7 linked regions of the Callithrix jacchus genome follow. The protein of the gene in region 5 purifies or fractionates together with the protein of the main gene of each other region. This does not show direct contact. Links are inferred from orthologs where the notes say so. Each region holds a gene or a part of one and is shown on either strand. Other genes may lie near its edges.

What was found.
Region 1: the proteins of EIF3B (region 5) and EIF4A1 purify together in Homo sapiens (affinity purification with mass spectrometry; 4 studies listed by BioGRID and IntAct, counting the BioPlex papers as one, with this or other methods). This does not show direct contact. The link is inferred for Callithrix jacchus from reciprocal best matches to the Homo sapiens genes EIF3B and EIF4A1.
Region 2: the proteins of EIF3B (region 5) and RPS6KB1 purify together in Homo sapiens (affinity purification with western blotting; 3 studies listed by BioGRID and IntAct, with this or other methods). This does not show direct contact. The link is inferred for Callithrix jacchus from reciprocal best matches to the Homo sapiens genes EIF3B and RPS6KB1.
Region 3: the proteins of EIF3B (region 5) and EIF4E purify together in Homo sapiens (affinity purification with western blotting; 5 studies listed by BioGRID and IntAct, with this or other methods). This does not show direct contact. The link is inferred for Callithrix jacchus from reciprocal best matches to the Homo sapiens genes EIF3B and EIF4E.
Region 4: the proteins of EIF3B (region 5) and EIF3L purify together in Homo sapiens (affinity purification with mass spectrometry; 8 studies listed by BioGRID and IntAct, counting the BioPlex papers as one, with this or other methods). This does not show direct contact. The link is inferred for Callithrix jacchus from reciprocal best matches to the Homo sapiens genes EIF3B and EIF3L.
Region 6: the proteins of EIF3B (region 5) and EIF4G3 purify together in Homo sapiens (affinity purification with mass spectrometry; 3 studies listed by BioGRID and IntAct, with this or other methods). This does not show direct contact. The link is inferred for Callithrix jacchus from reciprocal best matches to the Homo sapiens genes EIF3B and EIF4G3.
Region 7: the proteins of EIF3B (region 5) and EIF5 fractionate together in Homo sapiens (co-fractionation; 3 studies listed by BioGRID and IntAct, with this or other methods). This does not show direct contact. The link is inferred for Callithrix jacchus from reciprocal best matches to the Homo sapiens genes EIF3B and EIF5.

Annotation. Positions count from the first base shown.
Region 1 is NC_133506.1:74,068,842-74,070,998, forward strand, and holds part of EIF4A1 (eukaryotic initiation factor 4A-I), read left to right. Parts: intron 1-804; coding exon 805-973; intron 974-1,090; exon of another isoform or gene 1,091-1,231; intron 1,232-1,296; exon of another isoform or gene 1,297-1,326; coding exon 1,327-1,436; exon of another isoform or gene 1,437-1,460; intron 1,461-2,157. UniProt on the Homo sapiens protein: ATP-dependent RNA helicase which is a subunit of the eIF4F complex involved in cap recognition and is required for mRNA binding to ribosome.
Region 2 is NC_133506.1:94,475,637-94,479,853, reverse strand, and holds the start of RPS6KB1 (ribosomal protein S6 kinase beta-1), read right to left. Parts: upstream 2,801-4,217; 5' UTR 2,733-2,800; coding exon 2,592-2,732; intron 1-2,591. UniProt on the Homo sapiens protein: Serine/threonine-protein kinase that acts downstream of mTOR signaling in response to growth factors and nutrients to promote cell proliferation, cell growth and cell cycle progression.
Region 3 is NC_133504.1:98,561,434-98,565,726, forward strand, and holds the start of EIF4E (eukaryotic translation initiation factor 4E), read left to right. Parts: upstream 1-1,493; 5' UTR 1,494-1,618; coding exon 1,619-1,921; intron 1,922-3,329; exon of another isoform or gene 3,330-3,345; coding exon of another isoform or gene 3,346-3,348; intron 3,349-3,674; coding exon 3,675-3,781; intron 3,782-4,293. UniProt on the Homo sapiens protein: Acts in the cytoplasm to initiate and regulate protein synthesis and is required in the nucleus for export of a subset of mRNAs from the nucleus to the cytoplasm which promotes processes such as RNA capping, processing and splicing.
Region 4 is NC_133502.1:208,882,722-208,886,221, forward strand, and holds part of EIF3L (eukaryotic translation initiation factor 3 subunit L), read left to right. Parts: intron 1-329; coding exon 330-500; intron 501-1,406; coding exon 1,407-1,904; exon of another isoform or gene 1,905-2,393; intron 2,394-2,760; exon of another isoform or gene 2,761-2,860; intron 2,861-3,500. UniProt on the Homo sapiens protein: Component of the eukaryotic translation initiation factor 3 (eIF-3) complex, which is required for several steps in the initiation of protein synthesis.
Region 5 is NC_133503.1:56,683,861-56,687,360, forward strand, and holds part of EIF3B (eukaryotic translation initiation factor 3 subunit B), read right to left. Parts: intron 1,983-3,500; coding exon 1,790-1,982; intron 425-1,789; coding exon 305-424; intron 1-304.
Region 6 is NC_133508.1:58,037,375-58,041,342, reverse strand, and holds the start of EIF4G3 (eukaryotic translation initiation factor 4 gamma 3), read left to right. Parts: upstream 1-1,168; 5' UTR 1,169-1,190; coding exon 1,191-1,396; intron 1,397-3,968. UniProt on the Homo sapiens protein: Component of the protein complex eIF4F, which is involved in the recognition of the mRNA cap, ATP-dependent unwinding of 5'-terminal secondary structure and recruitment of mRNA to the ribosome. Functional homolog of EIF4G1.
Region 7 is NC_133509.1:138,161,875-138,166,096, forward strand, and holds the start of EIF5 (eukaryotic translation initiation factor 5), read left to right. Parts: upstream 1-1,422; 5' UTR 1,423-1,492; intron 1,493-1,631; exon of another isoform or gene 1,632-1,840; intron 1,841-2,082; exon of another isoform or gene 2,083-2,654; intron 2,655-2,762; 5' UTR 2,763-2,973; coding exon 2,974-3,045; intron 3,046-3,151; coding exon 3,152-3,233; intron 3,234-3,763; coding exon 3,764-3,936; intron 3,937-4,205; coding exon 4,206-4,222.

The sequences.
Region 1 (2,157 bases), on a different chromosome or scaffold from region 5:
AGGCTCAGGGCATTAAACGTTCTGTGGCAGATGCAGTGACTATTCTGGGTGTGAATAATGTAAAGTTACAGCAGAGCTCTTGTTCTAAGGCATTTGGGACTCAGTTTTTCTGAGTGAATATGCCTTGTAGCTTGCGTCCTATGGCAGGAGTGCAATAGAACATGGATGTGCTCAACTGTTTTATAAAACCGGTTGCTGGCTGGGCACGGTGTCTCACTCCTATAATCCAAACACTTTGGGAGGCTGAGGCAGGCAGATCACTTGAGGTCAGGAGTTAGACCAGCCTGGCCAACATAGTGAAACACCATCTCTACTAAAAAAATATAAAAATTGGCCAGGCATGGTGATGTTGGCAGGCAGTGGTTATCCCAGCTACTTGGGAGGCTGAAGCAGGAGAATCACTTGAAGCTGGGAGGCAGAGATTGCAGTGAGCCAAGGTTGTGTGCCGTTGCACTCCAAATTGCACACCAACCTGGATGACGAGCAAAACTGTTAGTCAAATTAGCTTTCAGAAAGTTAAGGGTTCTGAATGTCTAGAATAAGACACTGAATTATCTGAGCGGCTTTATTGTGACTCACTGTATACTCAGGAACCAGACTGAGTTGAAATCCTGTCTTGCCACCTATTGACAGCACGATCTTAAGGATTTTAACCTCTGCCAGTTTCTCAGCTGAATGTGAGTTTACTAATAGTGCACACCCCCCAGGGTGGTTGGTTAGGAATAAGTATGTGAAAAACATTGAATGGTGGTGCCTGGCACAGTTGGAGCTAATATATGAGCACCTGTTTTTCTCCGGGCTCAGATACAGAAGGTGGTTATGGCACTAGGAGACTACATGGGTGCCTCCTGTCACGCCTGTATTGGGGGCACCAATGTTCGTGCTGAGGTGCAGAAACTGCAGATGGAAGCTCCCCATATCATCGTGGGAACCCCTGGCCGTGTGTTCGATATGCTTAACCGGAGGTACCTGTGTAAGTAATTGAGTTCAACAGTCCCCTAGGTCACTTCCTCTCATGCATGCTTTCCGCGTCTTTCAGCTTAAGCCAAAGTCATTCCTGAGGATGCTCATTTCCCTTATGGGAAGAGTTGCTCTGTGATGAGGCCCATGCGTGTCATCTGAGTCTGGCTTTCCTGGCAGTGCAGCCCAGGCAGTGTTCTACTTGCCAGGGCTGATGTCTGGCCAGGCAGGAAAGTCCTCGGCAAAGGATCAGTCTTTGTATTCTGAGAGCAGACTACTTGGTCCCTCTGTTATCAGGAAAGTTGGGTACATATATCACACATTTACCTAATTATATGCTGTATATTGGCTTTTTTTATTCTCTAGCTCCCAAATACATCAAAATGTTTGTACTGGACGAAGCTGATGAAATGTTAAGCCGTGGATTCAAGGACCAGATCTATGACATCTTCCAAAAGCTCAACAGCAACACCCAGGTGAGGGCAGTCTTGCTTGAATAGCTGAAAAAAAAAAATAGTTAAGGACAGAGTTTGGCTCTTGTTGGCCAGGCTGGAGTGCTGTGGTAGCTCTGCCCAGCTGATTTTTTGTATTTTTAGTAGAGAGGGTTTCACCATGTTGGTCAGGCTGATCTCAGACTTCTGACTGCTCAGGTATTTGCCCGCCTTGGCCTCCTAAAGTGCTAGGCTTACAGGCATGAACCGCCACACCCAGCAGTGATTATTTTCTAGAAGAAAAATAGCAAGTGCTAGAAGAACCAAATTTTGGATTGCTATCTTGACTTTTTTTTTTTTTTTTTTTGGCACCCACTTCACTTTTTTTTTTTTTTGAGACAGAGTTTTGCTCTTTTTACCCAGGCTGGAGTGCAATGGCGCAATCTTGGCTTGCTGCAACCTCCGCCTCCTGGGTTCAGGCAATTCTGCCTCAGCCTCCCGAGTAGCTGGGATTATAGGCATGCACCACCGTGCCCAGCTAATTTTTTGTATTTTTAGTAGAGACGGGGTTTCACCATGTTGACCAGGATGGGGTCGATTTCTTGACCTCGTGATCCACCTGCCTCGGGCCTCCCAAAGTGCTGGGATTACAAGGTGGCTTGAGCCACCTCGCTCGTCCACCCACTTCAGTTTTAGGTGTGACTAGGGAAGGGAGCAGGCGTCAGAAAGGACACCTAAGAAAGGCTCTAAGGCTGGCCTTTTTCTC
Region 2 (4,217 bases), on a different chromosome or scaffold from region 5:
AAGCCATATTTCTTTTTTTTTCCTATTTCTACCAATTTTGCTGAACTCCTTACACCCTCTCAAAATCCTACTTGCTTGTACCCAGCAGGACAAAAGCCCTGGAACACCTACTGTTCTTGAAACACAACAAGAAAGTGAAAAGAAAAAGTCCCAATTCATACAGGAATTTTAATACAGTATTGTACTTTCAAAAAAGAATACATCTGGCCAGGCTCATGGCTCATACCTGTAATCCCAGCACTTTGGGAGTCCAAGGTGGGTGGATCACCTGAGGTCAGGAGTTCGAGACCAGCCTGTCCAATATGGTGAAACCCCATCTCTACTAATAATACAAAAATCAGCCGGGCGTGGTAGCACACGCCTGTAGTCCCAGCTACTCGGGAGACTGAAGCAGAAGAATCACTTGAACCCAGAAGGCAGAGGTTGCAGTGAGCCAAGACTGTGCCACTGCACTCCAGCCTGGGTGACAGAACGAGACTCTGCCTCAAAAAAAATAAAAGCACCTTCCTATCCAGTTTTCTTCCCTGCCCTGCTCCAAACCCACTGCCACAGAGAACCAATATAACTGATCAGAGTATGGAATATAATATATGTAACAAAAGTAATCTCATATTTGTTTCCAATTGTATTTAGTGTATCATTGTGTTCAATTAAGAAACTATTTGGAATTCCTTATGAAAACATCATTGAAAATGCACACACCAGCTGGGCATGCAGGTGGCTCACTCCTGTAATCCCAGCACTTTGGGAGGCCAAGGGGGTAGATCACAGGAGCTCAAGAGTTCAAGACCACCCTGGGCAACATGGTAAAACCCCATCTCTACTAAAATTAAAAAAATTAGCCAGCTGTAGTGGCGTGTGCCTGTCCCAACTACTTGGGAGGCTGAGGCACGAGAATCGCTTCAGCCCGGGAGGCGGAAGTTGTGTGAGCCGAGATCGGGCCACTGCACTCCAGCTTGGGCTACAGAGTGGGACTCCACCACAAAAAAAAAAAAAAAAAAAAGGTGTGGTGGGGTGGCTCACCCCTGTAATCCCAGCACTTTGGGAGACTGAGGTGGGTGGATCACCTGATGTCAGGAGTTCAATACCAGCCTGGGCAACACGGTGAAACCCCATCTCTACTACAATACAAAAAAATTAGCAAGGCAATGTGGCCCACCCCTGTAATTCCAGCTCCTCTGGGAGGCTGAGGCAGGAGAATTGCTTGAACCCGGGAGGTGGAGCCTACAGTGAGCCAAGATCGTACCACTGCAGTCCAGCCTGGGCTATCAGAGGGAGACTCTCTCAAAAAAAAAGAGAGAAAGAAAGAAAAGAACAGTATTATTTTAGGCCACTTAGTTTCTTAATCTGTTCAAGGTTCTTTATACATACCATCTCAATCTTTTGTCAACAGTAGGGCAGGTGTCAGAGGAGAAAAACTGAGGGTGAGGCAAGGGAAAGGAAGCCCCTATGTAGTTAGAGTAAACATCTAACACCAGTCATTAACCCATGTATTCAACTTGACATTGGAATTTAGATCCTAAACTACTAAGAGGTTATCAACTGACGATCATTTGGTCTGGAATCAGTAGTTTAGTATGACAACGTTTTTGAACTTCAGGTCCAGTTTGTCAGTTTTTGATAAATTTATCTCAGGAAAAAAAGATATTCCATAAAGAATAACAAACCACTAAGCCAGCCAAGGTAAAACCAAGCTATGCATTAGAAAATATAATTCTAAATTTAGCACACTAAATTATAGCAAGGAAAGCCCTCACGCCACCATTCACAAATCTTTGTTCAGGCAACTTATTTTTGGCAAGCTAAATCAGGGCTGTCAACACTGGGTTTTTTTTTTTCCCCCTACCCGAAAATTATATTAATTATTCTGGGGGAAAAAAAAGACATCTTCAACTTGGGGAAAGGTTACAAGTGCCGTGTGTCCTATAAATGCTTACTTTAAAAAGTCACACGGAAGGGGGTTAAAAAAAAAAAAAAGCAAACAAACAAACCCTGGAAGATTGGAAGATGCAGCAGAGCCCCCTTGCTCCCGAAATAAAACTCCTGGTGGCTGTAACAGCAGCGGCAGTGCTACTCCCGACAGAAGTTTTCAGCTGTCACTTCTAACAGCTGAGCGCTTCCTAGGAGAGAAGCGACAGGCCGAGAAGAGAGGTGGTTGTGGGAGGTCTGAAGATTTAATACCTGAAATCCTAGATTCGAAGGGAAACCCTCCACACTTCACCTGTACTTACGGGACTCCCAGCAAGCGCAGCCCTCGTATCCCCAACATACGCTCACGCCACCCGCGCCCCGCCACACTCAAGTCCAGCAGCTCGAGGTATCGAGCACGCGCCCCTTCTCTTTCCCCCTTCAGACTGCTCAGGGCTGCGCTGACCTAGAGCTAAGGGTGCGACCTGCACCTGCGATTCCTGCAAAGGCCTCACACCTAGAGCCATGTCCGTCCCACCCGCTCCTCAGTCTCGGGCCGCGCGACCTTCAGCTCTTCCAGGAGCCCCCCCGGGTCTCCACGCTCTAGGACACACCGCGCTTCCTGACCCCGCACCGCCGCCCCGGCCCTGTCACCTCGGGCCCCCGGAGACCCCGGGCCTCACCCCCTCCTCCAGCTCATCCTCAGAGCCCGCGTCCTCCGGCTGGTCCAGGTCTATGTCAAACACTCCTGCCATGTCCTCAGCTTCCCTGTCTCGGAAGTCCGGCGCTGGGTAAAAGCCGTCCCGCCTCCTTCGTCGCCTCATGGGCCCGGACCCGCCGCAGCTACCACCGCCGCTGCCGCCATCACCGGCTGCTTAGGCTCAGTGCGTCTGCGCCTAGGCCCTAGACTGGCTCCTAAAGTTCAGCGCAGGAGCATGCGTATATGGTCCCGTGAAGCCAAACTGTTGGCAATGGACATGCGCAGAACTATGGTCAGCATCCAGGTGCTGGCAGAAACATGCGCAAAACGCGAGCCGAAGCTGCTCCTGGAGATCAGAGCATGCGCATTGTCAGCTAAAGCGTTCGGTGAACAGTGAGCATGCGTACCACATCTGAAGTTCGTAAATTGAAATTGAACATGCGTAATTAATCTTTCTGAATAGGAAAAAAAAAATACACAACAAAACTCTCCTTTTATGGAACATGCGCATTGGTTCTCAATAACTTTTTCGTTTTGAAAGTGAGCATGCGCATGGTGAGTAGGTTGGTCTGAATTTGAGCAGGATAGAAGCGTCTGGTCGGCGTTTGGTGGTGAGTCGTATAGATGGGGAAATCTTGGGGCCGGTGTGGAACGGCAGACCTTTTGGCTTTGTTGTTTATTAGTTCTGTGGCCTTGGAAAAGTCAATAACCGTTCAGAGCTTCAGTTTCCTTATCTGTAAAATGAGGATAATTATATACCTACTTTACAGGTTTGACATTTTAAATACAGAATCTGTCTCTCAACCCACGGCTCATTTCCAGTAATGCATAGATCTGATGTGAAGTCTTTATCAAAAATTGTCTCTTTTCCTAGGTAAAAATAATGAGAACCTGCTCTAATATTTCTTTTTCTTTCTTTCTTTTTTAAATAGACACAGGGTCTCGCTATGTTGCCCAGGCTGGTATGGAATCCTTGGGCTCAAATGATCCTCGCACCTCGGCCTCCCAAAGTACTGGGATTACAGGCACGAGCCATTGCGCCCGGTTAATATTTCCTCTGATTTTCTTTCTCCACGCTCCATCTTTCTTGCTGTCCTACCTGAGTTAAACACAAAATCTTTCTTACAGGTCTTACTAAAGTTACCAGGCTAGACTAGTGGAGAAAATGTAAGTCATTATTTAGAAGAGAGAAAATAATGTTAACTTAATGTGCAATGTTGAGCTCACGTCTGCATTTTACATGTCTATGTGGTGTGAAGGCTGGTACTACTAATTCCTTCAATCAGCATTTGTTTTGTCTTTTTTTTCTTTTCTTTTCTTTTTTTTTTTTTTTTTGAGACAGGAAGATGTCACTCTGTCACCCAGGCTGGAATGCAGTGGCAAGATCTTGGCTCACTGCAGCCTTGACCTTCCAGCCTCAGGTGATCCTCCCAACTCAGCCTCCCGAGTACCTGGGACTGCAGGCACACACCACTACGCCCAGCTAATGTTTGTATTTTTCATACAGACAGGGTTTTGCCATGTTGCCTAGGTCAGGAACTCCCATGCTGATGTAATCCTCCCAACTCAGCCTCCCAAACTGCTGAGATTACAGGCAGGAGCCTCTTTT
Region 3 (4,293 bases), on a different chromosome or scaffold from region 5:
TTTGAATTAGTGCATCTCATATTCTGGTGACAAACTGGTTTATGTTTGTTTTTTAATTTTAATTTAATTTTTTAGAGACAGCGTCTTACTGTGTTGCCCAGGCTGGAGTGCAGTGGTACTATCATAGCTCACTGTAGCCTTTGAACTTTTGGGGTCAAGGGATTTTCCTGTTTTGGCCACCTGGGCTCAGGAGATCTTCCTGCTTTGGCCTCCCAAGGTGTTGGGATTACAGGGATGAGCCACTATGCCTGGCCTTTTTAAAAAAATTGTAATATAATACTTTTGTAAAACGATAAACATGAAGACATACATACAAAATGTAAGCCTGAATTTGATTAGTTTCAGCGGATATAAAATTGTCAAATTGCTACAGATTTTCTAAGTGTTTACTTTGCATTTCTATACTTAACCTCACTGTCAACCATGACCAGTTTGTGGACCAGCAGTAGCAGTCTGTAGATAGTCTGTGGACTGTACTTTGAGTTACTGGTTCAAACTATTATTAGTGCCCAGGGGGATTAATGATGATTACGTACTTCAAATATGGCGTGGGGAGATCTGTCTTAACCTGGAAAAAAAATTTTGGAAATTCCTATGAGTAAATAGGTGTTTTTTATGTGTATTTGGGTTGAGAATTGCTGTGAGAAATCTTGAATGTTCAAAACCGTGGAAAAGCACATCATGGTTTTGGAATTTAAGCAATGTAGATTTGAACATGGTGAGGAGAATCTAAAATTTAGTCAGATTTATTGAAAACACCACAGAATGATGTTAGACCTGGGAAATATTTGCCTCTATAAATTAGGATTGTCCCATAAGATTAATATTACACCTGTGCTAGTTTTGCAGAATGTAGTAAAAAGCTACCTGACATTCTTGGCAGCTAATTGTTAGGGTTTTCTCACCCTTGCTTGTCTTTTTTCTTCCCTTTCAACTTTCTTTTGTTGCTATGACAGTTTATTCAGCCCTGGGTTTGCTAAATTTTAATACTAAACATTTTTATTTGAAGCTGATGAACTCAGCAAATCTAAAACCAGGTTTAATACTTTGCTCTTAAATTGGTGATCTTTTGTTTTCTTGCCATTTGGATTTAATCTCTTTGACCTTCTAGTTAATGTCTTTCATTGCCCCCAAGATGAAAGGTACACTTTTAGCCTGACCTGAGGCCTTTAACAGTCTCACTCCAACCTATCATTCTAGCTCTTCCCTTTCATAAACTTTGTCTTTCAGCCACACTGGTTACTATCTGGAGGAACACAGCACCATCCATGGCCTCACTCTTACACTCTGTTCTACTCACCTAAAGTATGTTACACAATGCTTTTTCAAGGGAAGATTGTCTATTTTAGTTTAAAAATGTGTTCGATTACTTTGAGTTAGCCATAATCTGCTAAATTAGCGTTTACTTTTTTGTTCAGGTAGTTTATAAACCTAGAAATATTGGTCATTTAATTTTTTTTACTTTTTTTTTTTTTTAATTCCCCAATAGAACCTGAGGTTGGTCATTTAGGATGTATTTTCCAGTGAAATTTTCTCACTGAGAGAACACCAGCCTGAGAGAGCAGAGAGGGGAATATGGTAGGACTTTGCAGTATTTTTATTTTATTTTATTTTTGAGATGGAAGTCTTGCTCTTGTCCCCTAGGCTGGAGTGCAATGGCTTGATCTTGGCTCACTGCAACCTTTGCCTCCCGGGTTCAAGCGATTCTCCTGCCTCAGCCTCCCGAGTAGCTGGGATTACAGTTGCCTGCCACCATGCCTGGCTAATGTTTTTATTTTTAGTAGAGATGGGGTTTCAGCAGGTTCGCCACTCTGGTCTTGATCTCCTAACCTCAAGTCATCCACCCACCTCAGCCTCCCAAAGTACTGGGATTACAGGCGTGAGCAAAAGTATTGGACCTCCGAAAGTACTGGGATTACAGGTGTGAGCCACCTCGCCCAGCCGAGTTTTGTTATTAAATTGAATGTAAACTTAAAACTTTTTAAGTGTCTATAGGAAGCAACCTTAAAAATAAGATTATACATCTTAAAATAGAACTTGTTTCTGGAAGTATTTTTTAGTTCCCAAATAGATGATATGAAAAGATGGCTGTGGCCATTAAAAATTCTTATGGTATTATAGAGCATTTGTTTCATAATCAATCTATATAATTAAAAGTGAAGATTAGAGAGTTTAAATTAGTATACTTATTGATTTGTACATACACACATTTAAAAATGTATAGCTTTTTTTTGTTTAAAAATGTGTAGCTTTTTAAAGTTGTTGGAAAAGTACAAAATAATGTGTTCTTAATATGAAGACTATAGTATCAATTACTTAAAATGGGACTTCTAATTCAAAATAACACTTTTAAAATTTTAGGAACTGAATGTTTTTCCTGAGTGATTATCTACTTTTAGTTTCTGTATGTCCAAAGATTTGATTACCATGTTAGTATTCCATCATTTCCTCAAGAATGAAAAGAATGGAATAATAGAAAAGAAGAGAAAGAACTAAATTAGTTTTAAAATGATGTTTTGGACTCTATGAAACTTGTAATTAATCATATTGTAATTCACTATTTATGTGCTGCTGAGGTAAAAGGTTTAAATAAGTGTTGCAAAAGTATGGTTTATAGTGAGGATTTTGAGCTTATGAGTAAATTTAAGAGAATTTAGCTATCTACTCTCAGGTCTTTTGGATAATAAATATTTGACTACATATCTTGTTGTGTTAACATATATCTCTAACTTTTGTTTGCTGCTTCAGTAAATCTGATATCCAGACACTTGTTGCATTGCCCCTTTTTTTTTGTATCAGTCTTTGTCCTAATGCCTTTCTATGGATGTCTTGTTCTGGTGACAACAATTTATTGTAGTGTGAAGAGCTACATGGAAGAATGTGGTGAACACCTATTTTAAATTACTATTCTTCTTTTCTTACTGATATTTCTAGATGACAATGTTAATTATGCCTAGCCTAAAAGAAGATTTAAGTTCAAACCAATGTCCATCATCTTAGAGTCCATTGAAAATGTTAAGTTGCCGAACTTTTAGGTTACCATAGGGTAAACAGTATGCCATGAAGGCAAGACTGGCATATCATTGGCTTGATCACTTTACAAAGCTTATTTTGTCATCATAATATAGTTTTGTTTGTTTCTTTGACAGGGTCTTGCTGTGTTGCCCAGGCTGGTATCAAACTTCTGGGCTCAAGCAATCCTCCTATTTCAGTCTCCTGAGTAGCTGAGATTATAGGCATGCACCACAGTGCTCAGTGATAAGTTATTACACTCTTGAAACTTTAGTTTCAATCCTCTATCCATCCTGATATCACCTTCAATACCATATACAGTATCTTAATGAGATGGTATGTTAAGAAAGATAGCAGATTTTCCTAACTTTGTTGCATAATCTGTGACAGTCTTCCTGCTATTAAAAAAAAAGTATAAGTGGAAGGATAACCATAGATACTATTATATTTTCCAGTTTGAGAAACCCTTTGCTCTTAATGAAGAGATACAAGAATAGAGAATGGTTCTTTAGAGGTTGGTCTATGGTCTGTTTAATGAAGCAATCTGCTCTAATTACTTCTTCTTAAAAAATATTATCAGCATGTCAGTTCAGGTTTAATTAGAATATTCCTATCATAGGTGTGTTAAGAAATTTAAAATAATGTTTTATATTTTATACTAGGAAACCACCCCTACTCCTAATCCCCCGGCTACAGAAGAGGAAAAACCAGAATCTAATCAGGAGGTCGCTAATCCAGAACACTATATTAAACATCCTCTGCAGAACAGGTAAGCTTTCTGACACCTAGGTTTTCTGAGTTAGGCCACAGGTAAGGGAAAGTTAGATTATGAGGCTAGTTTTAGATATGCTAAGGTTGAGGGTTCTATTTTTCGCTTGGATGATCCATGACTAGCAGACAGTTTTATGTGTGAGTCTTGAGCTCAAAACAAACTAGGTGAGAGATTAGTTTGAAATTCTTCAGTATATTGGACGTAATAGAAGCCACATTATTAAGTAAGTTCCTTTAAGGAGAAGTGAACTTTACTCAGGACAAAGACCTGGGATACTAGCATCATATAGGGGGCTTTTGTTGAAGAAGAATGCCTATGAAGGATGGATATGCAAACTAAGAGTGGTGGTCGCTGGATATGGTGGCTCACACCTGTAATCCCAGCACTTTGGGAAGCCAAGGCAGGTGGATCACCTGAGGGTTGGGAGTTTGAGACGAGCTTGGCTAACATGGTGAAATGTCTTCTCTACTAAAAGTACAAAAATTAGCTGGGCATGGTGCCGGGTGCTT
Region 4 (3,500 bases), on a different chromosome or scaffold from region 5:
TTCTGTCTTAACTGTCTGTTCCTTTATAGGACTTACTTGAAAAAGCAAGGAAAAACAACAAAACTGAGAGGTATAGCATTTTAGAGCTCAAAGAGATTTTATGGATTCCTCATCCAGAACCTTCTTGTTACAGCTAAGAAAATGGATTCCTCAAAACATACAACTTAATTTGTGAATAGGAAGATCCATTCTCAAACTCTGGGACTCCAGAGCTTCCTCTGGGTAGTTCAGGGCCTCTGCGGGGAAAGCTTTTCTCTTGGTGTTTCTGCCTCTGGTTCTGTCCAGGATGAATTGGCACTCATGGATGTTTGTTCCATCTCCTTCTGCAGAGTATGTATTCCCGTGTTCCAGAGTGCCAGGTCACCACGTACTATTATGTTGGATTTGCATATTTGATGATGCGTCGCTACCAGGATGCCATCCGGGTCTTTGCCAACATCCTCCTCTATATCCAGAGGACCAAGAGCATGTTCCAGAGGACCACATATAAGTATGAGATGGTAAGGGGCACTCTGCCTGCCACTAGTGGCCTTTCTACTCGGCTGACTCCTTGGCATCTATGCCAACCATTCTTGGTAAAGACCATCCAAAATACAGTTTTAATTAAGCCAGGAGTTAAGGCTGTAGAGCACTCTATACGATTGTGCCTACCAATGGATCACCCACCTGGAGTGCAGTGGCGCAGTCACAGCTCACTTCAGCCTCAACCTCCTGGGATCAGGTGATCCTCCTACCTCGGCCCTCCAAGTAGCTGGGGCTACAGCCACATACAACCACACCAGATAATTTTTCTTTTTTTTTTTCCCAAAGTGATACATATATTTTTGAGACGAATTCTCTTTCTGTTGCTCAGGCTGGAGCACAGTGGCGTGATCTCAGCTCACTGTAACCTCCACCTCCTGGGTTCAAGTGATGATCCAGCCTCAGCCTCCTGAGTAGCTGGGACTTATATTTGTGTATGTAAACAGAAAAGATACAATAAAAGTACGGCATTATGATCTTGTAGGGTCAGCATCCTATATGTGGCCCTTGGCCCGTGGTTGACTAAAACGTTGTTGCGTGGCACGTGCACATGTAGGCATCAAGGTTGCATCAAACGTTTTGGGTAACTTGATCCTAACTGGTGTAAAAGGACTGACCTGCTAGTGATGTGTGGGGCAAACTGGAGACACTAAGAGGTACTAGTAAGGAATCCAGAAGATGGCTAAGGAGGATTTGGAGCTAGGATGGAAGTTCAGTAGATCTAGAAATAAGACTGGAAGAGATGTTGGGGAAGTTTAGTGGCTGATATGAGACAGCTGAGTAAATCAAAGATCTGTGCAGAGGCCGGTGAGGCCACATTGGCATTGGGGACCTTAAGAAGTCCGTCTCACTTGACCCATTACCACTCTCCACTTCATCCCCAGATTAACAAGCAGAATGAGCAGATGCATGCGCTGCTGGCCATTGCCCTCACCATGTACCCCATGCGTATCGATGAGAGCATTCACCTCCAACTGCGGGAGAAATACGGGGACAAGATGCTGCGCATGCAGAAAGGTGACCCACAAGTCTATGAAGAACTTTTCAGTTACTCCTGCCCCAAGTTTCTATCGCCAGTAGTGCCCAACTATGATAATGTGCACCCCAACTACCACAAAGAGCCCTTCCTGCAGCAGCTGAAGGTGTTTGCTGATGAGGTACAGCAGCAGGCCCAGCTTTCAACCATCCGCAGCTTCCTCAAGCTCTACACCACCATGCCTGTGGCCAAGCTGGCTGGCTTCCTGGATCTCACAGAGCAGGAGTTCCGGATCCAGCTGCTTGTATTCAAACACAAGATGAAGAACCTGGTATGGACCAGCGGTATCTCAGCCCTGGATGGTGAATTTCAGTCAGCCTCAGAGGTTGACTTCTACATTGATAAGGTACGCCTGTGCCCTCGGTTTGCATCTCGTGTTAGGTGTTCACTATCTTTCATTTGCTACTCTGGGCACATGAAATACATTGGGGAACAAAATCAAAGATTCCTGCCCCTGCGGTGCTGCCATTCTACTATTTAAAAAAAAAAAAAAACGCAGGAGATTGGCCAGGCGCAGTGGCTCATGCCTGTAGTAACTAGTTCTTTAGGGAAGACCAAGGCGGGAGGATCACTTGAGCCCAGGAGCTTGGGACCAGCCTGGGGCAACATAGTAAGAGTTTGTCTGTATTTACCAAAAAAAAAAAAGATAAACAGTAGATGCTACAATTAAGCAAAAACATGTAGAGAAAGTGAAGTTTAAGCTAAGACTTCAAGGAAGCGAGGGAGTTCTGTTTCTTGGGGGGGTTTTTTTGTTTTGTTTTGCAGAGTTTTGCTCTGTCGTCCAGGCTAGAGTGCTGCAGTGTGATCTCGGCTCGCTATAATCCCTACCTCCCAGGTTGAAGTGATTCTCCTGCCTCAGCCTCCTGAGTAGCTGGGATTATAAGCATCCGCCACCATGCCTGGCTTGCTATTTTTAGTAGAGATGGTATTTTGCCATGCTGGCCAGGCTAGTCTCAAACTCTTCTGACTTAAAGCCATCCAACTGGTGGGGAGAGTTCTTAATAGCTCACCAAAAGCCAGGTACAGTGGCTCACGCCTGGAATCGCAGCACTTTGGGAGGCTGAGGTGAGCCGATCATAAGGTTAAGAGATCAAGAACATCCTGGCCAACATGTTGAAACCCTGTCTCTACTAAAAATATAAAAGTTAGCTGGGTGGAATGGCACACGCCTGTAGTCCCAGCTACTGGAGAGGCTGAGGCAGGAGAATTGCTTGAACCTGGGAGGCAGAGGTTGTGGTGAGCCGAAATCGTGCCACTGCACTCTAGCCTGACAACGGAGCAAGACTCCATCTAAAAAAAAAAAAAAATAGCTCACTAAATATCTGGGGGAAGAGCCTTCCAGGCAGGGGAAGTGCCAGGCGCTTCCTGAGCGAAGTCCCTGAAGAGGAGTAAGGTCAGTAAGTTTAAGGGACAGCTGCAGTATGCCCGAGTGGCCTGAGGAAGGAGGCTGTGTAGATGAGGTTGGAGAAGGGGATGGTGCTTTGTAGACTGTTGGAGTACTTTCCAAGTGGGAAGCCATTGTCCTGGCTTTTTTCATTTCTTAATTTTTAGTTAGCAATAATCATACCTCACATAACCCTCATTTGCCATACTGCCACGGCACTAAGCTTTTTTCTTTTTTTTGTTGTTGTTTTTTTTTTTTTAAGACAAGGTCTCACTCTGGTTGCCCAGGCCTGTGGTGCAGTGTTGTGATCTCCGTTCCCTGCAGCCTCAACTTCTTGGAGGATCTAAACAAAAGATACAGAAATACAATATCAGCTTGAGCCTGGGAGTTCAAGGCTGCTCAGACCCTCTTGGGTTTAAGCGATATCCTCGTGCCTTAGCCTCCCAGCTAGCTGCAACTACAGGCACTGATGAGGGTTTTAAAAGAATGGTTTCCTTATATGAGTTTTTTAGACTTAGCCTAGAATATGTGGAGTGTGTGTGTGTGTGTGTGTGTGTG
Region 5 (3,500 bases):
GAAAGGAGACTGTCGAACCCCATGCTCTGATGACTGGAAAGAGCACCAGGGGTCCAGCATGGCCCTACTGCACTTCTGCCTGCCCACCCCCAGGGCTGTGACTGGCATAATGGGGAGGGGTGCTACGGGCCAGGAGCTTGGGGCAGGGCTATGAAATGGCACTGTGGCCCTGCGGAAGCCTGACCAGAAAGGCTGTTAACAATCTGACAGGCACCAACGCCCACTGAGAAGCACCAAACCACCCAGACACGGCCGGTCGCTTGCCCATCAACGTCCACTGCCTCATGACCAAACCTGAACTTACTTGTCAAAATCCGTGAAAAGGTTAACCCGGAACGTGTGCTGCTTGTCCAGTTTATAGCCGTCAGCGTTCTTCACAGCATCCATAGCATGGGCAGGGGACGCATACTCCAGGAAAATATACCTGAGTGAAAGAGGGCCGTTCATACACACGCACACCATAAGGCTGGGCAGGTATGCACTGTCTACCCCACCCCTCTCCATGGACAAGCCCTCTGTACCAGGAGTTATCTGTGCTGTTCTTCCTGCCTTGAGCCTAAGGCAGTCACACAGAGGACAGACCCACAGCCAAGGAGCTCCCTAAATGAGAGGGAAACCTAACCAGAAGATTCAAGTCTCTAGTTTTATGATTATAAATTATAGAAAAGCTAATCAAAACATCCATGACTGTGGCAATGGTTTCATTAAGTGTAGACATCAAAATCTATTAAACTGTATACTTTAAAACTATGCAGATTTATTATGTATCGATTATCTCAATAAAGCTGTTTTTTAAAAGAACTTGTGGCCAGCGCTGTGGCTCATGTTTGGGAGGCTGAGGTGGGCAGATCACTTGAGCTCAGGAGATCCAGACCAGACTGGGCAACACGGCAAAACTCCCTCTCTACTAAAAAATACAAAAATTAGCCAGGCGTGATGGCACGTGCCTGTAAGCCCAGCTACTTGGGAGGCTAGGGCAGGAGAATTACTTGAACCTGGGAGGCAGAGATTGCAGTAAGCTGATATCACACCACTGAGCTCCAGCCTGGGCAACAGAGTGAGACTCTGTTTCAAAAATAAACAAAATCTTAAAAATAGCCTAATATTGTGTATTATAGGCAACATTACAAAGGACCTCAGAGCACTTTTCATTGTAACATGAGTAACCGAGGGTCAAGAGGCTACCCTTCAACTGACTGCCCAACATAAAAACACTGTAGCATTACCTACATTTGATAATTTTTCTAGAAACTAAAACTATTCTAGTTAGTTTTTACTTTACGTCATTTATTTGAGAGACAGAGTTTTGTTCTGTCACTCAAGCTGGAGTGCAGCTACATAATCATAGCTCACTGCAGCCTCAAACTCCTGGCCTTAGTCTTTAAGAGTGTTGGGAGTTTAGGTGTAAGCCACCATGCTGGCCTATTCTAGGTAATTTTAAAACTTTTTATTTATTTATTTATTTATTTATTTTTAAAAGACGGGGGTTTCACCATGTTGGTCAGGCTGGTCTTGAACTCCCGATCTCAGGTGATCCGCCTTCCTTGGCTTCCAAAGTGCTTGGATTACAGGCGTGAGCCACCATGCCTGGCCAATTTTAAAAACTTTAAAACCTTAACTTAAAAAAACAAACTTTATCATCTTCTCATTCACTGCTTTCGAGAGCTTCCCGCTGAGGGCAGCCTAAAAAAGAGAATGGCCCACGTGCCTGGGCGAGGCAACAGTTCAACACTCCTTCATCACGACGTGCCAGACACAGATGAGACTTCTCTCACAGGCGAACACTCACCCTTTTGTCTTCCCATCCTCTTCAGGATAAAAATCATTTGTGATTTTCCCAAACTTGGAAAAGATCTTGTGGATGACATTTTTGAGTTTCTCAAGTCGGTCAGGTCCCACCTGAGGGACATTGTCCACTACAATCACCGAATCGATTCCATCTGCTTCCTGGGGTCGATCTTTGAGTACATCTCCTAGTAATTCTGCGAAACAGAGATTTGTCAAATGACCACTTTTACCAGGAAAAACATTAACACATTAAGCACACTGAACAAATATCCAGAAAGTGACAATGAATCATCTAAATGCTGTTGCTGTGAGCAAAAGAAACCCCAACCCTAGCTTGTTTCAGAATTTAAATGTGAGAAGTAGGGAGACTGGGACTCCTCTCTCTCCCTTTGATGGAAATGTCAACAGTCAAGGTATGTCAGTTAAGTTCTGGCAATAACCAAAGACCAGAAGACAGTTAACAATAAAAAGCTTTTAACAATGCAAAATGCAAATGAAGAAGAAAATCTAAAGAATATCCAATATTAGATCTTTCAGAGATCCCTAGATTTTGAAAGGTTTCTAGCAACATCTAGGCAGAACCCTATCCCAATGTCAATGAAAACTGACTTTTACAGAAGATTTTAGCAAACAAGTAAATATTTAAATGCTCGATATATTCGCAGCACATTTGTGCTGTGAATTCAAACTACTAGAAATTATTCAAGGAGGAAAACTTCTCTTGAGTGAATTGGGATGAAAATAGTAACTCTTCTCCCACCTCCTGTTCCCAGTTATTTTCATGTTTTCAGGCAGAGAACTGGATAGCCATTCACAAGGGGATCAGGAAAAAAAACAAACAGGGAAGGCACCTGGGTGAACTTCCCGACCGGCCCACCACCAGGCACCTTCGTCCAAAACCCCTTATCCAACATTCCCTATGTTAAAAATCTCGAAGGATCAACACAGGAGATAGGGATGGAGCAAAGTGTTTTTCCTACTCACATGCCACTCAACACATTTCTGACACCAGATGTGGGTCCATATCAAGCAGTTCTCCAGGGGCTACCAGCTGGGTGTCCTCCAACTTAACCCAATTCAGACACTATCTACCAGGAATTAGCATCAGATCCCACAGGCTGAAGGTTCAGTCCCAAAGAAGGGTCCCCATTTCAGATGGCAATTGTAAGTAGTGGGCTGTCATCTCCAGTTCTGACCGAAAGCCTCCAAAGCAGGGTTCCCACTATTCCCCACTTCTTGGGTTGCTACAACAGCTTACAGAATTCAGGGAGCTAGGTTTGCCAGCTTATTATAACAGAAGTTATAGAGAACACAAAGAAGTAGATGGAAGAAAAGCGAAGGGGCTCCCTGTGCTTTCTAGGCATGCCACCCCGAAGGAGCCTCCACCTGTTCAGCTATGTGGTGCCCCCTGAACCCAGTCCTTCTGGCTTTCATTACACAGGTGTGATTACTGACATCACTGAGCACTAGTGATCAACTCGACTTTCAGCCCTCTTCCTTCTGAGGAGCAGAGGGACACCTAAAAGTCAATTAAATGTCCTGAAAGCCTGATCTGAATTTACAAGGCTTGCAATAAAAGGCTCAGCTTTTACACAAACTGTATACTCCTTTCCCACAAGCTCAAAGCATCTAGACTAGAAGAACCTGCCCACACCTAGGAAGGAAATATATGAAGTAACTACACCATGAAGACACATCGCCTTGATCACTCT
Region 6 (3,968 bases), on a different chromosome or scaffold from region 5:
ATGGCGGCTCAGATCATGTCCCCAGCCAACTTGGGAGGTGGCAAGGTTCATCCGGACGAAGGTGGCATTTAGATTTGGGCACTGTCCTTTCCCCTGCAGGGTGACCTTGGGCCAGTCACTTTTCCTCTCAGTGTCCTATGGAAATGGGTCTCCTCATTCCATTCACCTCTCAGAGCGTCTGAGGAAGAAGTGTCGACACAATGGGTGTGAAATGCGTGGTTAAGGGCAGGAGGGTAGCATTGGTTATGCGAAGTCCCGGCAGCGGGTCCCTACCCAGCAGGTTCCATTCCGGTTAAGCGGTTCCTTCCCCAGTAACCGGGGTTTCTCGCCTCACCACTGCTTTTCCGTCCCTGCAGGCAGGATCCAGCAAACAGCAGGCTCCATTACCAGGGGCCATTACCATTGTTTTTCGAGGCTGGGCGGTAGGAAAGGACTCTCGCAGGCCAGACCTCGCCTTTGGTCTCTGCCTCTGCCCCGCACCCGCGCGGTAGCAAGCCCGAGAAGCCCCGTCGCCGATCTTTGCCGAGGAAGCGAGTTAGCCACTGAGCGCTCCCGAACGGAGGCCGAAGGCGCACCCGAGTGTCTCCGAAGAACCCCGACCCCTCTCAGTCTCCGGAAAGAACCGAAGAGGCTTCCCACCATCGGCCTCCCGAGCTATTCCGAAAAAGCACGAAGTTTTCCGAGCGGCCGTCCTGCCGGACTGCTGGAGGCGGCCGCAGCGCCATGTTGGATGCTCTGCTCGTTGAGTGAAGAAAATCCGCCGGCATCGCCTGAGCCCCGCTACCGAGAAGGGTGCCGCTTCCCCCGGGGAGGGGGATAAAGATCCCCCGCTGCCGGCCCATGAGGATATTGCCGTGAAAGGTCCGGTCTCTCCGCCTCCTGCCCCCGCCGGGTCCGGCCCCCCCCCTGGGGTCGCGTTGTCACGGAGACCGGCAGCCGGTGGTGCTGGCCCGCGGGGCGGCTGCTGCTGCCGGCGGCGGCGGCGGCGGAGGCGGCGGCGGCGGCGGCGGCGGCGTCGGGCGTGTGTGACCGGCCCCGGCCCCCTCCTCCTCCTCCTCCCAGGCTCCCCCCAGCCCCCAGCTCCCGCCGCCTCCCCGGGTCTGCCCCCATCCCGCCCCCCCGCTGTCCCTGGCCCCTGCACCCCGGCGCGCCCGGTCCTGCTCTGGGGGGGTTGGTGGCTTCGCTTTGCCATGAGTTTACCGCAGAAACCGGCTCTGAAATCAGGCACAGCGACTGCAGCAGGAACCGGACCCGGCACCGGAGCGGCGGCGGCGGCGGCGGCAGCAGTGGTACCGCCTCCTCACCCGGCGGCGGCGGCAGCAGCAGCGGCGGCGGCGGCGGCGGCCCCCCCTCCTCACCCGAACATCAGGGCCCTCCAGACCCAGGCGCCCCAACAGTATCCTTTTCACCTTCCTGTCGGCCCTTCGGTTGTCGTCGTCGCAGCCCAGGGGGACCCCGCAGCCCAGGGGACCTTCCTGCGGACCGCCACAGCCCAGCCAGGAAGGGGGCTGCCGCTCAAGCCCCTCCTGCATTGGGCTTGGCCGGAGCTTTTGGGGTGCCTGGCGGCAGCACTGCAGAGGGAACCTCAGACCTTATGTAGTACTGTGAAAGCTAGCTCCACTTGTCCATGCTTCTGCAGCCCCTTCCTTTTAGAGCTGGGGGACCCTTCACCCCTCCTCCTTCCCTAAGGTACCCTCCCTCCCTTTATTGGGCAGAATTTGCTTGGTGCCTGGGACCAACCCTGCAGGGAAGGCTTTTCTCTGATTATTGTGAGGATTACACCCTCCTACTCCTCACCTCCCCTCGGCGCCCCCTACAGTGGGGCGCAGTGGGCTTTCCTAATTACTATTAGTACATAATAAACTTTATCGGTGAATTTCTTGTTTAAAACTAATCAGCTCGTTTCCGAGGTAAGTTGGATTTTCAGTGTAAGGTGAAAATGTACAGAAAGCAGCCCCTCTGGATAATTTTTTTTAGAAATGGGAGAGTTGTGATGTGGTTTGTGGTAGAACGAGATCTGAGGAAATGTGACGCTGGACGCTTCCCTGTCTTTGACCTTTTTAAAGGAAGAGGAAGTTCACTGACATTACCCATCACCCACAAAAGTGTCACTTCTTGGAAGATTTGTGTTAAGCTGAATATTTTTAATGGGCTTTAATTTACTCTTCATAGGCCTGATGTCTAGAGAGTTGTCAGGGCTTCTGGAGGAAAGTCTAGTATTGAATGTTTCTAATTTCATGTTACTTGCTCGATAGTAGAATTTTGGACAGCTTTGATTGAAAAGACTTGGTCTTTTAGTCAAAAACTAGACGGTGAGGGTAAAACGTTGAATTCATGAATTCCACGGAGATTTAGAAAGGTATTGCGTACCTGAGAATAACATTTCATAATGCATCCCCTCCTCCCTACACCCACTGTATATGTGTAAATCAATAAATAATGATTGGATGTTAGATGTGTTGTGTTTTTGTATTTGTGTCATCGTGTGTTTGACTTGTAGAGATTGTAGGGTGTGTGTTTGAGCAAGTTAGAAGCTAACTGCTGTGAGGTCCCCAGATTATTTCACAGACTGTAGTTTGATTCTTGTCTGTATAGATTACTTTGAGAAGGGAAAACAATCTCCCTTAGAGTCATTTCAGGTCATTGTTTGGTTTCTGTCAAGTGTCGTTTTCTCTGTTCTTTAAATATAGTTCACGTTTTTCAATCCAGGCACCGTGGCGCAGTGCAAAGATGAATTCCATTCCAGTGTGATGTGTGTACTGATTTAATAATGTTTTAATCCTGCATGATTCTGTTCAATTAGGAGTTGCTCACCGATGAGAAAGTGTAATGATAACTTAGTGTTGCTTATAGAAAACATGGTTAGTTTTGGTCAATGTCTCTAGCTGCTTTATGGTGAGGGGAGAAGGGGTAAGGTTGACTGGTTTGCTTACTTCAAGGCAGAGTTCAGTGATGGATCTCTTAAACCTATTTTAATAATTTGTCAGTTTAAATTACTTTCTAATTTCATTTTTTTACCTTGATTGCCTATACTCGGTTAGGACTTTTAAGTTTCTGAATTGTACCACCAAGTAAATTACTCATTACCTGCATCTTTGAGCTGTTTAGGCAATTAAACAGAAATGAAGGGAAACCTATGGTAGGTGTCCTTGATATACAAAGTAGTAAGAACTGCAGTGCTGAATGTGACACTGCTTGGTGAATTTGGTGGCTTTTTGGGACACAAAGAGTTGTGACATAAGTGTTTCAAGTATACTTTTTCTCAGTGCATTTCATAGAAGGACTTATAAAAGCTCTGAGTTGGTTGCAACATACAAGTAGTTACAAAAGCTGAAACTTAGTTTTCTTTTGAATAAAAAGCAGTTGTTAAATAGATAAATTTAAGGGTAATTTCCAGTATAGAGCATTTAAACCTATTTGTAGTAATATGGAATACTTAGTTTTATGTGGCTTTAAGTTTTTAGTTTGCCTCATGCCATTGAAGCTAAAGTTAATCTTCCTCTTGATGTGTTTCACAGCTTTTAATATTTTCTCTTTGCTTTTACACACTGAAAGGTTACAATTGCAAAAATGGAAAATTTTATATGAACAGCAAATGAAGTGTAGGTTGTAGATTTCATCGGAACATATACCAGTGGTGAAGTGTTATCAATTGGTAATGGGATATTGATTTAAAAGGATTGAAATAGAGCAGTTCTACTTTTCTACCCTGAGGGAGTATGGGAGTTTGTATTTGACGCAAGTTGTCATTGTTCAGTAAGTTGATAACATTTAAGCATCTTGGCAGGAGTGCTTAGCTGGAGTTTCACTTTTCATGGCTTGAATATATCTCCAGACACTCAAAATATATGGGTATGGTTGTGTTTGCATTGAATTAATAAGTTCAGTCAGTCACCCGCCCCCCGCCCCCCGCCCCCAGTCTCAGTCTTGTTGCCCAGGCTGGAGTGCAGTGGTGCGATCTCAGCTCA
Region 7 (4,222 bases), on a different chromosome or scaffold from region 5:
TTAGAGGGGCTCTCACTCTACTGCGGCCAAGTTATGTCTTCAAACTTCAGGGTGGACTATGGATGCGTTTTTAAGTCTCAAGTTTTCACACACACACAAATCCAAGTTTCAGAAAGAATGTTTCAACAGAAAATATGAGAGCCTCTTTCTAAATTTTTTTTTTTTTTTTTTGAGACAGTCTCTCCCTCTGTCGTCCAGGCTGAAGTGCAGTGGTGTGATCTCGGCTCACTACAACCTCTGCCACCCGGGTCCAAGGCTTCTCCTGCATCAACCTCACAAGTAGCTGGGATTACAGGCCCGCCACCATGCCAGCTAATTTTTTGTATTTATAGTAAAGAATGGGTTTCACCATGTTGGCCAGGCTGATCTCGAACTCCTGACCTCAGGTGATCCGCCCACCTCGGCCTCCAAAAGTGCTGGGATTACAGGCGTGAGCCACCGCGACCATCGCGTAAACAGTAATTTTCAATGGAATACATTGGAATCTCATTATAAAACTCCTGCCCAGGGCTACGATTTCCCTGTCAAGGAATTCACAAGTCATTAACTGGAGGGTACAGGGAAGCAGGAAGGACGGACAGCGCTTTTCAAGCCTGGGAGGGGGTAAGCCTTCACCAGAAGGCGAGACCCCACCACCAAGCGCCTACAGGAGGCCCCAGGATTCCAAACCAATTAAGGGCTGCCTCTTCCGAAAACGGGAAGCGACGCGATGAGCCTTATAAGCTAAGCGCGGAGGCCGGGTGCGGGCTGGCACCCAGGCGGCGGGGCAGCCTCACGACCGCCACGGGCGGTCACTGGCGAGGCTCGGGCTCATTCCGCCGGCGGCCACTCCACCCGGGTCCGACACAGAAGACAGCCCTGGGAATAAATAACCCAGGCCTGGGGCTCAGGATGGAAAAACAACTCAGTCCTCGAGGCCCAGAGACTTGCGTCCCCGGGGGGGGGGGGGGACCGGAAAACAGACGAGCGCCCGCAGCTGGGAGAACGCGGTCGGGTTTCCTCCCCCCCAAAGTGTCGGCCACAGAAGCACGGCCTCGAGAGCGGTTTCGAGGGCGATGGTCCTGGGACCCGGGAGTCGCCGCGACGCCGCGGCCTGGCCCAGACCCGGCGTGGAGGGAAACCAACCGCCATCTTCCCCGCAGCGCCCAAATTGACAAAGCACTATCCCCCGCGGCCCGGCCCTGCAGCCAGGGCCTTTCCGGCTCTCGCGACAACCTAAGGTTGCGCCGCTAAGGCCTCTGGGAAACGGGAGGGGAGAGGAAGGAAGCGGGGATCGGGGCTGGAGGCGGGCCGAGGCCACGAGTGGAGCCTCAGGAAGCAGAAGGGGTGCGGAACGGCGCGATTGACGCCGCAAGCGAACCAATGACGAGCGAGCTATGGCAGGCCTCCAGCCAATGGACAGTGAGGCCTCACGCGGGGGGCGGGCGCTGGGGCCGAGGGTAGCTTGAGCTCGGCGGCGGCGTTGTTCAGTCAGAGCGAGAACATTCCAGAGGTGAGTCCGGTGGAGGGTCGGCGGCCCCGCGCCCCCTGCCCGGTTCTCCCCGCACCCCCGACCCCGCGGGCTGCTGGCTGGCCGGGAAGGCGCACCCCCCGACCCGCCCGCGGCTCACGGCGCCGTCTCTCCGCGCCAGGTCGCCAGGCTCCGGCGCTGACGGGTGTGGACCGCGGACGTCGCTGGGACAGCCCCTCCCCGCTGCTCGGCGGCGGCACCTGGCCCGGCCGCTCCTCGCTGCGCTCCGCCTCCGCCTCCTCGGACTCGGACTCGGGTTTCTATCGCGCCTCACTTCATCCCAGTCCCGGGCGAGCAGCGTTGGGTTTATGTCTTTATTTGACGAAAACGGTGAGTCGCGGGCGCGGCGGGCCGGGAGATGGCGGCCGCACAAGATGGCGGCGGCCGCCGCGTGACCCCGCCGCGGCGTGTGGCGCAGTTTGGGGGGGGCGGCGGGCGGGCCCGGGCCCCGGCCGCCCCCTCCCCCTCCCCGCGCGCTCCCCGGGCCGGCCTCGCCCCTTCCCCGGCCTCGCGGGAGCGCGCCGCGCGTGCCCGCCGCTCGGGCTGACTCAGGTCTCAGCTGCTGCATTTGTGAGTCATCGCGCGCTCTGGGCGGGGGCGGCCGTAGTCCCGGCGCCCCTGGGCCCGGTGTGGCTTCCCGGCTGCGCGCCCTCCGGGGACGCGCTGGGGATGGGGCCAGACGCCCGGGTCGCGCGGTAGCCATGGGGACCGGGGCGAAGGTTAACCGAGTGTTGGAATCGCCCGGAACAGGGAGGCCGGGCCGGGCGCTGCGTTTCCGGAAGTGCTGCTCTGAAGCGGGCCGTGGTGGCCGAAGCGACCATTAGGGGTGGAGGATGGTTCCCAGTTTCCCCTTAGAAATGACGGCGGACGGGGCTGTGCCTGGGCGGGTCGCTGACCCAGGCCGCGGTGGAGGCGGCGAGGGCTCGGGCTCGTTCCTAGCACTTACTGGATGGCCGCAGAGGCGAGCGCTTGACCTGCTCATGGCCCTCGGTCTGACGGGAGCCCGCGGCGGCTGACACGGCGCGGCCTGTTTTCCTACCGGGCCTTTCCCTGCCGGAGTCGCAGCCTGGTTGGAATCCGGGCCTTTGAAGTTCCCGCAGGTGTCCTGTGTTAGAGGAGAGGGGCTATTTGCATGGGATCTCAGGTGCCGCTTCAGGTAGAATTAAGCGGAAGCATAACTAGCCGGAGTGTGAAAGGAGGCGGTGATGCTAACCCGGGCGTGGGGTTGTGTTTTCTGTCTCTTCTCTTTCAGAGCTGTTGCGCAGCCATTGGTACCTGTATTGGGGAAACATAGCATACAAGCAAGAAGCTTACAGCCTCAGTGGCGAAAATTTTTTCATGTCAGAGACCGAGAACTCTTGCAGTCGTTTATGTCATCCCTTCTTCTCCAGACAGAAGATACCAAAAAGTTGCAATCAAAGATCTCTTCATCTTATTGATAAAGCCACTAATAATAAGCCAAAATGTCTGTCAACGTCAACCGCAGCGTGTCAGACCAGTTCTATCGCTACAAGATGCCCCGTCTGATTGCCAAGGTAGTGTATGCTGCTCCTCATTTTCGTTGATAGCTCTTTTTGCAGAATTTTGAAGATTCCATCTGTCAGGGGAAACTGCAGAATTAAAATTTTTTATTTCCTTTAGGTTGAGGGCAAAGGAAATGGAATCAAGACAGTTATAGTCAACATGGTTGACGTTGCCAAGGCGCTTAATCGGCCTCCAACGTGTAAGTAGAGCTTGGAAAGTAAAAAGAGAGCACATTATGGAGAGTCTTCAAAGTCTTTGAGCTGCGAAACTTGTTCTAATTGTATGCTAGTTGATTAGCTTACAAGTTAACTGAGGAACCCTGATTTATTGGTTGCCCTGAGTTTACGAAACTACCAGGAGAACACGTTTCTTTAACCCAATAATTTAAAAAGAGTGGTGGCTCAGGAGTGCAATCCCAGCACTTTGGGAGGCCAAGGCGGGTGGGCCGTGAGGTCAGCAGTTGGAGACCAGCCTGGCCAACAAAGTGAAACCCCGTCCCTACTAAAAATACTAAAATTAGTCAGGTGTGATGGCATGCCCCTGTAGTCCCAGCTACTCATGAGGCTGAGGTGGTTGAATTGCTTCAACCTGGGGAGCACAGATTGTCCTGAGACCACACCATTGCACTGGAGCCTGGGTGGCAGAGTAAGACTTCATCTCAGGAGAAAAAAAGTGGTGGTTGAGTTAGGTGACTGTATAATGATCTAAACTCTTCTTTCATTCAAATAGATCCCACCAAATATTTTGGTTGTGAGCTGGGAGCACAGACCCAGTTTGATGTTAAGAATGACCGTTACATTGTCAATGGATCTCATGAGGCGAATAAGCTGCAAGACATGTTGGATGGATTCATTAAAAAATTTGTTCTCTGTCCTGAATGTGAGAATCCGGAAACAGATCTGGTGAGTGCTTTTGTGGTGGTTGTCAAAACAAAAGCCATATACTTACTTCTGTGATCAGTTCTATAATATCACTAAGTCACCTTCCTGAGAAGACAGAGCAGATGTATTGTAAATCAAACCCAAAACCTCCAGATTTGGAGATATTTCCATTCTTTTTTTAAAGTAGGTCACTGTGTGAAAAAAGTTTATTTTATATGTGAAGCTGTGGTTTAGATGTCTTCTGATTGAATATTTGCATCTTATGGATAACTTTTTTTTTTTTTTGGCAGCATGTCAATCCAAAGAA